2 linked regions of the Rattus norvegicus genome follow. The protein of the gene in region 1 interacts with the protein of each later gene in a biochemical or structural test. Links are inferred from orthologs where the notes say so. Each region holds a gene or a part of one and is shown in the gene's direction. Other genes may lie near its edges.

The links. The genes of interacting proteins can lie anywhere in the genome.
Region 2: the proteins of Ctnnd2 (region 1) and Pdzd2 form a complex in vitro, tested with the Homo sapiens proteins (2 studies listed by BioGRID and IntAct, with this or other methods). The link is inferred for Rattus norvegicus from reciprocal best matches to the Homo sapiens genes CTNND2 and PDZD2.

Annotation. Positions count from the first base shown.
Region 1 is NC_086020.1:82,876,673-82,883,484, forward strand, and holds the start of Ctnnd2 (catenin delta-2), read left to right. Parts: upstream 1-2,796; 5' UTR 2,797-3,397; coding exon 3,398-3,434; intron 3,435-6,812. UniProt on the Homo sapiens protein: Has a critical role in neuronal development, particularly in the formation and/or maintenance of dendritic spines and synapses. Involved in the regulation of Wnt signaling.
Region 2 is NC_086020.1:63,112,076-63,117,483, reverse strand, and holds part of Pdzd2 (PDZ domain-containing protein 2), read left to right. Parts: intron 1-3,259; coding exon 3,260-3,423; 3' UTR 3,424-5,408.

The DNA of each region.
Region 1 (6,812 bases):
GACTATTGGCATTTAAATACAGGACAGAAATAACATTGCTGATATATAGTTATTTCCAAATTAAAAAAATCAACAGGTAATACATTTTTTAAAATGTCAAGTCACTATTTTCTACTTGAATTTCATGATCTTGATTGCATTTTACTAATAAAAAGATTTTTTAAATAACACATTTTGAACTCTAAGATACTATATGACTTTATAAAATGTGTTCATTATTAAATTTTACTCTCAAAACTTAAGTCAAACTTCCATTTAAGAATATGTTTGGTTCATATTTTAAGTTGCTTTTGAAAAAAAATCAAGAGAAATGTGTTGCCTTTAGATGTGATTCCTTTAACTCATTGCTCTAATGGTGTGCAGACAGAAGAGTGACAATACCGATTTTTCGTTTAGCATTGATTGGTATAATTCGAAACTACCAGAATAACAACTTTCTGGACTCAGAGTGGATGTGTGAATTCAGGATTCTGCTCCTCGCTGGAACTGTCAGAAGCAGCAAGCAAAAGATGGCAGCAGCGAGTCGTCCGAAGACTCAGCACCACACGGGAGCATTTCACCCCAGCTTTTACATTATCTAATTGTGAACTTAATAATATCTCCAGTTACAAATAATTCTGGAAGGATAGATATCATAAACGTTTCAATGAAAAGCGTCAAGAATAAGCGAAATCCTTGTCGTCCACATCTGCTTCTTTAGTACCCCGCACCCACCACAAGAAGTTCTTCAGGGACTGATCATGGGTGTTGCCATAGTGATCAATAAATCAATGGGAATTTTGCAATTTCTCATAAAATAAAGCAAACAATTTCTGAAAACCATTTTTTTTCTCACTGGATCCTTTTGGATTTAAAAATAGGCATATGCTCTAAGGATACCTACTATGGTATCTGATTTTTGTCTTAACCTGTTCCCTGTTCCCACTGACTGACTGAGTTAAAATTCATGAAGAGAAAATCAGGGACCCAGAGGATGGGTCAGTAAGAGTGTTTATTCTGAAAATTTGAGAACCTGAGTTCAGATCTCAGGATCCCCACAGAATGACTGATGAAGCTATGTGCACACCTGTAATTCCAGTATTGAGGGGACCTGGAGACTCGAGGATTTGGGGGACTTGTTGGCCTCCAACATTAGTTTCACAGGTTCAGTGGAGACAGTGTCTTAAAAAACAAAGGTAAGAGGGACAGAAAAGAGCATTAAGTTGTCCCCTGGTCTCCAGACATCAGCACAAACAGTCACATATACATACACATATCTTTCACACATGCTACCACATACAAATCAAACAACTAGAAACAGCAACACACACAGAGGCTAAGCACATCGTTTATTACATAACACACACACACACGCACACGCACACACACACGCACAGTGTGTGTGCGCGTGCATATTCATGTGTGTGCACGCATGCTTTTTATAAGCCCCAAGTTACAGATTCAACTTGAGCTGACGTATAAAACACCTGAAAATGTCCACATTTTCTGTCGCAGGAATCAGGCTAGGTTTGAAGTAGTAGCTACACCGGAGAACAACTGTTTCCGAGTGAGACCAAATCTACAGAGGGCAGGTGGAATGCGACGCACACTTCACTGTTGAGGACAGTCATTGTTCAATCTCCTGTGTGTTACTTTACATATTTAGTCTCTTTAACGTTTCTTTACATTTCTCAACCTTTTCACTGACCCCCAGAGAATAATAGAGGATATCTCAGACTTAACACAAATATTTTGAGTCCGTTGGATAATCTACCGCAAACTGAATAGAAACGTTCCTGAGATTGCTGAAGCTGCAAACCGCTCTTAGGACAAGTTCGTGGTTCCTGTCCTGTTTATCTGTGTCTCAGAAAATGGCTCCAGGAAGGAGCAGAGAGGAGAGGACAGCTTTAGAGTGAGGATCTTTGGGGTCAAGGGAGATTCGTGGTGGAATAATTATGAGAAGTATTTGTCCCGAATGTGACTGACAGACTTTGCAGCAACACAGGGACATAGCTGAAGGTCCCGAGGGCCTGCTTGCCTTGGCACTTGGGATGCCTTTCATTTTCCAACAAGACTTTCCATGGTGTGACTTTACTTGTTAGATTTAGCACTCTGTTGCCTAATGACTGTCTGAGAGACAGTTGGAAATCTCAGTTGGAAATGGAGAAAGCTTCACAGACTTCACCAGGGGGTAGGTGGAGGAGGAAAGTTTCCATTTTAGCACCGGTTTAGCACCAGACAATGGAACTGAAGAGGGAAAAAGTTGGAGGTGTCCAAGAGGACAACTGCGTAAGAAGTGACAGGCAGAGGAGGAGAAATCATTAAAGCTCCAGATCCGGCGAGGGTCTTCGTTGTAGGAAGTTTATTCATAGTCCAGATTTTAAAACCAGACTGAGTTTGAATAGGGGAAGGGTGTCTGTGAAAAGCATAATCTGAACACTGGAGGTGGTGGAGATGGGGCTCAACACTGTGAAAGAACCTCTCACAGACGACATACGTTTTTTGCTTTGGAACCCTAGAACCTACAAGAACATCCACCCCCATCCACTAGCTTGCATGGCTGGCCCAGTGCTCTCATTAACTCACAGGCTACTCTAGAACCCCTCAGTCACTGCCCTTTTGCAGACTGATATCTGCCACGCAGAATCAACTCTCCATCTCCGCTCTAGCTCGGGTGCTGTCTGCTCCCGGGAATGCTCAGCCCTCTCCCAACCTGCGCCGCCGCCTCCTCCCATCTCTGCTGCTGTTGCTGCCGCCGCGAAAACCAGAAGTGGAATTCGCGTGGCGAGGCGCCGCGCTCTCTCGGCGGCACTGGGCATGCTCCGCACCCGGGGCAGGTTTCGGTGGCGGGGCGGACGCTCGCTCACTAGCCAGGCGCCGGAGCCGGCCGCCGCGGCTGAGCCGGAGGCTGAGCTGCGGCGCGCGGCGGGAGGAGCCTCGCTCTCGGCGGCGGCGGCGGCGGCGGCGGCGGCGGCGGCGACACAGGTGGCGCGGGCGGCGCGCAGGGCGCAGCTCGAGAGCGCTCGGCGCCGGGCGCCAGGGCGGCCCAGGCTCGCGCCCGCGGCGGCAATCGGCCGAGCGGAGCGGCGGGCGCGGCAGCTCGGTAGCCCGGCCCGAGATCGGGGAGCCCCGCGGAACCCCGAGCATCCCGCGGCGCCCGCCAAGTCGGGCAGGGGGCGCTACGCTCGCCGCGCTCGGAGGAGCGGCCGAGCCGGGCGCTGCGCACTCGCGTCGGGAGCCGCCTCTCGCCTGCCGCGCTCGCCCCTGCTCCCCGCCAGCATCACTTGTCCCGCGGCCGCGCTCCGACAACAAAAGCGGAGGATGCTGCAGCTGGGCAAGGTCAGGACCTTGCTCTGAAGCCGGGCGGCGGCGCGCACGCCTTTCCCCGGACTGAGGAGCTGTCTTTGGCGGCGGGTGCATGTTCGCCAGGAAGCAGTCGGGCGCCGCGCCGTTCGGTGAGTTGCTTTAGCTGAGCTGCTTGAGCCGGGCGCATCCTCCGGGCGTCGTCCTCTTGCTCACCGCCGGTGGGGGTTGGTCCTCCGCTGCCAGCCGGGCCAGGGGTGGCGACGGAGGTTGTGGGGTGCTGTCTGCCCCGGGGGAGGACCACGATCCTGCCGGGTCCCCTCTCCAAAGACCGCTCTACCCGCAACGGGGTCCGGGGTCAGTGTCTTTCTTGGAGCGGTTACCAAGTGGCTTCCCCGCGTGCTCCCCTCCCTGCCACCCCTCTACCTAGGAGGACACGTATATAGGGCAACACCGACTGCTCCCCGCCACCCTCCAGAGCAACCCGGTTGCATTCATGACGTCCCTAATATACGGGAGAAGACGGGGTGGGGGCGGGGAAGACTTCCTTCCAGTCTTTTGCCCTTATGTTCAATGTCATTACGATGTTTGGCTAGAACAAAATGGAAAGACTTAGTCATATACGTCCATGGCCGTTTCTTCAGTCTCCCGCTGCTCGCCAGACCCAGACCCCTTTGGTCTATATTTAGCGTTTCCGAGGAAGCATTTTCAGAGGGATTCACAGGCTTCCGGGGGCTTCTCTGTCCTGACAATAGATAGCAAGCTCTGGAAAGCGTTGCCTGACAGCCAGGTTTGGCAAGGGTGCTTGTGCATGGGAGATACGCTTAGCGATATTTGGGTGATTCGTAATTAATGGCTGAAAGCAAAGCTGTGTTTCGCTCTCCCCCCACCCGACCTTCCTCTTCTTCTGGTGTGTAATGTGTTTTCATCGATTGATACTCAGCATGTTGAGCCACTCTGTTCAGAGTAAAGTCTCTAGGAAAGAGGTGCAACCTCCTCGATTTGAGGGAGGGTGGTGGTGGTGGGAAAACAGACTTAGGGGCTTAGGGGGTGTGCATCTCTATATTTTCCACAACGAGCCACTTATTTCTCAAATACCCAAAGTTGCGTTTTCTCTGTAAACACCGGGGTAATGGAGGGTGTGGAAGAAGAAGATAATAGAGGGGGAGGCAGTGCTTGCAAGGGGTTTGTATTTCCCTCATTTGAACTGATCTGCTGTGCTTCGGCTCTGCAAGGCTTTAATACATATGCATGCCTAATGTTCTCTAACAAATATGTTGGCTTAGAAGAGAGATATGTAATGAGCAAAAATCAGGCCTGAGAAGCATGACGGACCGTTCACTTTTAGGAACTGTGTGACTGATATGTAAGACGCTGAGAATTTTCAGCATTGACTTCCATGAAAATGGGGAGGTGTTGCCCCTGCCCACAAGTTACCTCATTTTGCACACTTCCACTAATGGTAGTTCAGTTGATGTGTTTGCTAGTGAGCATGTCTCACTGTAATTAGAAGGCTCCCCAGCCACACTACTAAAATCCAGTGGAAGACTGTTTGATCTGACTCTTTTTGGATTGCCAACGTAGACCAGTGCATGATTTGAGGGATCGGATATATGGAAAGTGTGACCAATAGAGACAAGAATCCTTGTGTATGGAATAGCCGGTTTCATCAACCGGATACCTCTTCCTTTAGTGATTCTCCGTGCCAAGCAGAATCCATTGTTAATGTTGAACAGTATCCGTACTGGTCTGTGGGTTGCAAGGTCCAAGGCTTGAATGAAGATGGCTATGTTTGGAATTGGTTGTTGAAATTTAGAAAGACTGTAATTTTACTAATAACAAGTGAGCGTGGGAAAAGCACGGCCAGAGGCTACACTGCTAGGCTTAAGGGAACGCTGCGATTCTTTTGCCAACACTGATGTAGTTTCACCTTTATTCACATTCAGGGAACTTTACAGGAGCGCTTTGAGCACACTCTTGGAGACCTTGTGTTATAGTAATGTGAAATTTCTATTAGAAACATGCCCTAGATGAAGGAGGAGTGCTTTTCCCATTCCTTTCCATTCCTCTCATTGAGTCTAGTGTTTCAGTTTTAACCATGATTCTTGTAGACTAGTTGACACCACTGTGTGCCTGTGTGTGCTTCCAGAGAGCAGCTGCTGGGCGTGAGGAAAACTCCATGTATTCTGCATGAGGCTTCTATACCGTATTGTGTGTTGATAATGATAGTACCTGACTGAATGGCAGTTATAGCAAGTGCATGAGGTTGTTTCTGTAATGAAATTGTCCTAATCTTGTAGAAAGGTGTTATTTAACTCTCTCTCTCTCTGTGTGTGTGTGTGTGTGTGTGTGTGTTTGAGCAGTTGTAAAACCAAAGCATTATAGATGTCATTAATGTTTGCATTGTTTTTAATAAGTCATGCACAGTCAAATTACAGCATTACCAGCTGCTTCACACCTTTTACAATACAGTAGAAGTCATCAATTCTTCCTCCCGTTCGGTAGTTCATCATAGAGAGGAAAAATGAAATTCAAAAAATATTATTTGGAAAAGGCAATTTGTAGTTTTGTTAAATATTTTCTAAGCCTAATATTGCCTTCATAATGGACTGTAAAAGTGAAAAAAGAACTTATAATGTTCTGTAACTATTTTACTTCGTGCATGTAATTGAATGTGTATTGCCTCTCCCCAAATGTAACTCTACATGCAATTGCTGAAGAGTTCTGAGATATATATATATATATATATATATATATATATATATATATATATATATTGTGTGTGTGTGGTGTGTATGTGTGTGTGTGTTCTCCTTTATAAAGGAAAAGCATTAGTTTTAAATGTGAAATGATCTCTAGTAATTTGTTTATAAAACTATGTATTTTTTGTGTGGATCAGTATATCTAGTTGTAAAGGCCAACTGGAACTAACATAAAATATATTTACATTTCCAACTTCCCCAGAATGCTCCCCTTCCCCCGTTATGAATAGAATATGAACACTCCCTTCTCAGTGTTTCTCTTTTGTCAAGTTAAAGGGAAGTGATACTTGTATTACTCTTTCTGACATAATTTTCACATCAAAAAGATCCCACATAGTTGGACACACTTAAACTCAAATTCAAACTATGAATAAAAGTCAGATACTGACCAGTTAGTTTTTAAGCCAGTTTGTTGAAGGTGTCGCACAATGGGCTTCTGCTAACTCACTTGTGAGTAAGTAAACTTTAAATGCAAATTACCTCAGTGGCTTCCTCGAGGCTCATCACTGTCCGTATTCCAAAGGTGAAATCCTTTGATGGATGAATGAGCTGTATATTGTTGTGTGCGAAAAGTTGATTTCAGAAAAGCAGTTCACGATTCTTGTTGTTAGCTTCAAGTTTGTCTGATTACATGCCAACGTAGAAGCATTTTTATATGACTATAAAATATTGAACATGCCATACATAAATAGTTTCTATCACATTGTCTGCCAATCCAGCCCACTGATTAATAAACTGCCTGGTTAGGTTTAATGAACCCAATTATAT
Region 2 (5,408 bases), about 20 Mb from region 1:
GAAAGACCAATGTTGCTATCAAGTATCTTTCTCGATCGCTCTCCACTTTCTTTCTGTGGCAGAATGTCTAGATTGCCAGTTGGGATCACTCACTTCAGAGTGCTTGGCTTACAGGGTATTCACACGTGTGGGTTCTGGAGATCCGAACTCTGGTCCTCACACTTGTGATCAACTGAGCCATCCCTGTACCATGAGGGAGCCCTTACAGTGTTCAGATGCCTAAGCAGTCAGGAATTGTGTAATTATATGGCTGATGTCAGCACATAAAACACAAACAGACCTGAAACTCACAAATAGGTCAGATGTATAAGAATGTCAGATCCTCTGGAGCTGAGTCACAGACAGTTCTAAGCTGACATGTGGGTGCTAAACATTGAGCCCAGGGTTCTCTGGAAGAACAGCCAGTGTTTTAACTGCTGAGCCATCTCTCCAGCCCCCAAAACTCATTTATGGTTAGAGGATGTAGACATGAAACTGGTTGTTCTTAGCTTAAGATTGTGTATGTGTGTATGTGTGTGTGTGTGTGTGTGTGTGTGTGTGTGTGTGTGTGTGTGTGTGTGTGTGTTGTCAGACAGGGTCTCACCATGTAGCCTGGCTTGGAACTCATAGAGATCTAATTGCTTTTGCCTCACTGATTTGCTTTGATCAAGTTTCTGAACTTGTGGTCTCTTTCTGTAATTACATGGCTACTCTGAAACATCTCTCCATTCCAGACACAATGTTAATATGAGCTGTGCTTTAAAAAAATAAAAATAAATTAGGGAAGAGAGGCCAAAACTGTCAACTTATGCACCCCAAGCAGCCACGGGACCAAGAATAAGCAGCAGATGCCAGCCTAGGCCGAACTGGTGTGCTCTAGGATTTCCCAGTGGGTAGAGCCTTTATCACAAGACCATCTCTGAAAGATTCACCTTCCCAAACCAAGGCCATCCTTGGCCCTTCCCTGAACCTGTCACATCTCATCATTCTAGATCTGTCTTCCGTCTCTGCCAAATACATGTGAACAATAAATTTCTTGAGTCTTAGGCAATTATAAAACCTTTCCACCTGGGCAGAGTGGCTTACGCCTGCAGTCCCAGCACTCAGGAGACAGGGGCAGGATTGTGGCAAGTCTGAGACCAGCCTGGGCTTCATATAGGGAGATCTAGGACAGGAAGAGCTACACAGGAAGACCATGTCTAAAAACAAAACAAAATCAAATCTCTGTAGAAAGGAGAAACAAAGCCCATGGTAGTGTTGGCTCAGAAATGTTCAATCAGAACTGAAGCTTACAGGCCCACCCAAGTGTAGGGGCTGAGCACCTCCTGACTCTGTGGGACTGCCAAAGGTAGGTATCCAGTGATGGGAAGGACTGGACCCTCCCCTGACAGGAACTAGAAGCAAGACAGCTTGTGTGGTAGCTTACACTAGCATCCAAGACAGGCTGTCTCTGTTTATGGCCCCACATGCTAGCAGAAAACAGGCACAAATCTGGAGTCAGGCATGCTGTGTGCAATACATAGTCAAAGCAGTACTAGGAGAGGAGAACCCCCATACTCACTAAGAGAGAACAGAGAATGGCATAAGGGAAGCATGAAGCGATTCATGTAAGCGTACTCACACAAGTATCAGCTCGCAGAAGAAGAAGGCAAAGTCCCCTGAGAGCCCATTAGAAGCTAAAGGCAGGCTACCCAGAGTCCCGGCTTCAGGCAGAGCAGTGCAGGGTACAGAATGGGAGCCCAGAGAGCCTTGCCAGCCCAAAAGCCCAACGGGTGGGCATTCATCTCTCTCAGGCTCTTACCTTCTTTTGTAATCAACCGCAATCACAGGTACATAAATAGCACTTTTTGTGATTCAAAAAAAAATGTGTACGGTATACACCATGCAAGGGCAGTTGCCCAGAGGGCCAGATGTTGGAACCCCCCAATACCAGAGTTATTGGTGGTCATAAGCCACCAGATATGGGTGCTGGGAAGTGAAGCTGGGTCTGAACCCGGGTCCTCTCAAAAAGCAACAGCACTCCTAACTGCTGAGCCATCTCTCCAGCACCTTCTTAGCGTTTTTATTATCTTGTGTCTGGCCATGATGGTCAGAGGACAAACTTCAGGAATCAGTCTTTCACCTTTACCCACTGAGCCATCTTGTCAGCCCTAAATACCTAAAATGGGCTTCAGAAACATGCATCTGCTCGGCTTTTTGAGATCTGCGATTTCTAAGAAAGTTACCTTCCCCTCTCCAGCCCCAGAAGTTTCTATTTCAATGCATCTTTTCTGCGGTAACATTTTCTTCCCCAATGCGCTTTAGGTCTGTATACAGTAGCAGGGAGGAGAGAGAGGAGGGCTTGATTGCTAAGAGCTCGTAAATGTGTTTTAGCTTCTACAAAGCTGTAACACAGGAATGTGGGAAGCTCTGTACGTTGGTAACGTTGTCACCACAGTCCCCACGACCTGATGAGCAGGTAACCTGTGATACTCAAAGCCAGACAGCTGACATTTTGGATGATATCGTTTCTATGAGCTTGTTGGATGTTTGTTGGTGTTCGTTCCTTCCTGGTTTCCTTTGACCAACTCTGTATTTGCTAATGAGGCTGTGTTTTTAATTTAAAGTGATTTTACTGTTTGAGTACACAGACTTTACACCACCGTCACAGAGGCTGCAAATGATTCAGACTGGAGTGGGAGGACCCACCGCTAAGTTTTATAACATACTGGCTGGTAAACACCACTCCAGGCGAATCAGGCAGAATTTAGAATCTGTATCCTTTGTGTGTCTCAAGATGCTTATGAACGACTTTTTCAACCAAATGGTAGACACTGTTAGGAAAAACAAAGCCCCTGTGGAGCATACCAGTTTGTGGAGAGGTCAGACCTTTCTTGGCCAGTTCATACATCTGTACCTTCATAGTCGGACATCAACTCCAGCCAGGTGAGGGTGTGCTAGTGCTAGCAGAGAACCCTGAGACAAGCCCTTCCCTGGAACGTGCTTGTGACTCACGACGGCAGTGGTCCGGTGGCAAAAAAGGAATTTGTGGTTCTTTATTATAAATACATTGTCTTCCCTTTGTGAATTGTGGGCTTGGGACTTGTTTATATTGGAGGGACTGCTCTAAGTTAAATAATACAAAATAGAGAGAGAATGTCTGTTTAAAAGAGAGAAAAGGAAAATAGTCCCCTAGCCTAAGACTATAGAAACATCATTGAGGAATATTTACCATTTAAACTTTTAGCTGCCTTTTTAAAGATGCAGGTGTTAACAGTGGGTTCTGCGTTTGTTCTGACAGGCGGTGCGGCCGAACGAGCTGGAACAATAGAAGCGGGTGATGAGATCCTAGCCATTAATGGGAAGCCCTTGGTCGGGCTGGTGCACTTCGATGCCTGGAACATCATGAAGTCTGTTCCAGAAGGGCCCGTGCAGCTAGTGATCAGAAAGCACAGGGATTCGTGAATTTTTCACAGGGATCTCCTTCCCTAGATTTACTACTTTACCAGAACGACTTCTCTAAACGATGGGTTCTTGAATCAACAAACAGCTTAGACAAATTCCATGATTGTACTTTTACAATGAAGCCCGAACTCTGGAAACCACCTACCTGGACCGTCAGGGCTGGGAGGGCATCATTTCATTCAGTGCCTCGGATCAAGAGTGGACGTGCTCTTCATCTGGAACGCCTAGCTGCACCCTCACCTCCCTCCTGCCACCTCTCCCAGCATCAGTCCTGGTGAGTAGGGACCAGAGGATAACACAAATGCCCCAGCGAAAATGATTTATGTATGTAGATTTATATAATTTTGTAAGTAAATGACAGTGCTTTTAGGTACATGCAGTGGAAGGCAGAGCTACGTATGTTACCTTGAAAAGGAAAATGAGACGTAAAGAAAATGAATTTATGACCTAATTGTTAGGCAGAGCTCAGGAATCACCCAACAGTGAAAAAGAAAAAGTGCTATTTTTTAATGAACGTAATGTATGATACGAACTAGGAAGTTCTGATGGTTTTCTGTTTCAGAGTGTAAGTCATAAGGCCGTTCCAGAGCGACAGTTCTGACGAGTTGCAATAAATCGCTGTGAGCTTCCCTTCCTGGGAGGAAGTTCTAGCCCGAAAGCACCTTGCATCTAGTTTTCAAACTTGAGTACATGGTCGAATTCAAGGCTGATCAACACAAAAACAGGCAAAGTTGTCAGCGTGTTTCTGTTTCCACACACATACATGCACCCCCACCACCACCACCACCACCACCACCCCCCCCACCGGAAAGGAATTTGAGAGTTCAATCCTTCGACTTGCAAACATAGGCATTCTGTGGTCCAGACTGAGGAGCATCCTCTCGGGGAAATTTTCTTGTTAGCTTTTCTCCTTTCCCCTCCAGACCTAAAGAAGCTGGACTACAGTCCAGCTCTCTTCCCTGACAGAGATCTGCGGTGGTTCAACTTCTTGCTATTTTGGTTTTTCCTGTTTTGCAAACTCTTCCTCTTGCTAAAACTAGGGTCCCACTGATCATTTTGACTCAAGCTGCTTGTAAAACTCCTCCGGCTTGGCTGCCGTGAACTTCTTCGAAGCCCTTCCTCCTCACAAGCTGGCTTTTCCTCCCTTTGCACTGACCATCATTTTCTTAAATTCCAAAGCCTCGCCAGCTTCCTTTACCAAACAAGGAAAATGGAAAAACAGGGTGAGTCATTCTCAAGGAAAAGGACTGCACAGTGTTCACCACCCTCTCCTCAGGTGGTGCCACCCAGTGCTGGGTCCTGGGGTCTTGGGTGGAAACCTCGTTTTCAAATCACGCATGCACAATGCTATGGTTTCGCCGCTCTGGTTAACAGCTGGGTCTAGGGGAAAGACGGCTGAGGTGCTTGAGCTGCTGTTGCCTTCGTACGTCATCATCTGAGCCCGATCCTGCTGGCCGCCTGCAGAGGACCCAAGAGAGGGCCCGTAGGCGGACGCGATATACCTGGCTCATTTTCAACAGGTCTCACAGAGAAAACTACAGTCCAGGAGTTAGCTAGGAAAACTGGCTTAGCATCTTCTTTTCCTTACAGTTACAAGTAGGATACTCTTAAGACGTCAGTGCAAGGTGCATGCTAGGTTGTCGTTTAAGTCTCAAGGGTCAGTTTTCTGCTTTCTTACTTGAATGATAATTTTAAGTCAGCACGGAAAACCATTTTTTTCTTTCCTTTTTGTTTGCCTCTACTCCCTTACAGTCATGCCTATTAAGTCCTTTGTGAACAGACAGGACTTCCGGGAGCAATGGCCTCTTTCCAAGTGTCCCCAGAGCTCCTATCTGAAGAGTACACGGAGGACTTGCTACACCATGTTAAGTCATCAAGCATTTGGCCTGGATCTTCCCAGCTAACTGGGAATGTAAGGGAAGAAGCAAGAGCTAGCCCTGTCTCTGACCCTGAGATAGAAAGCTATTTATTTGTGTTCAGTGTTC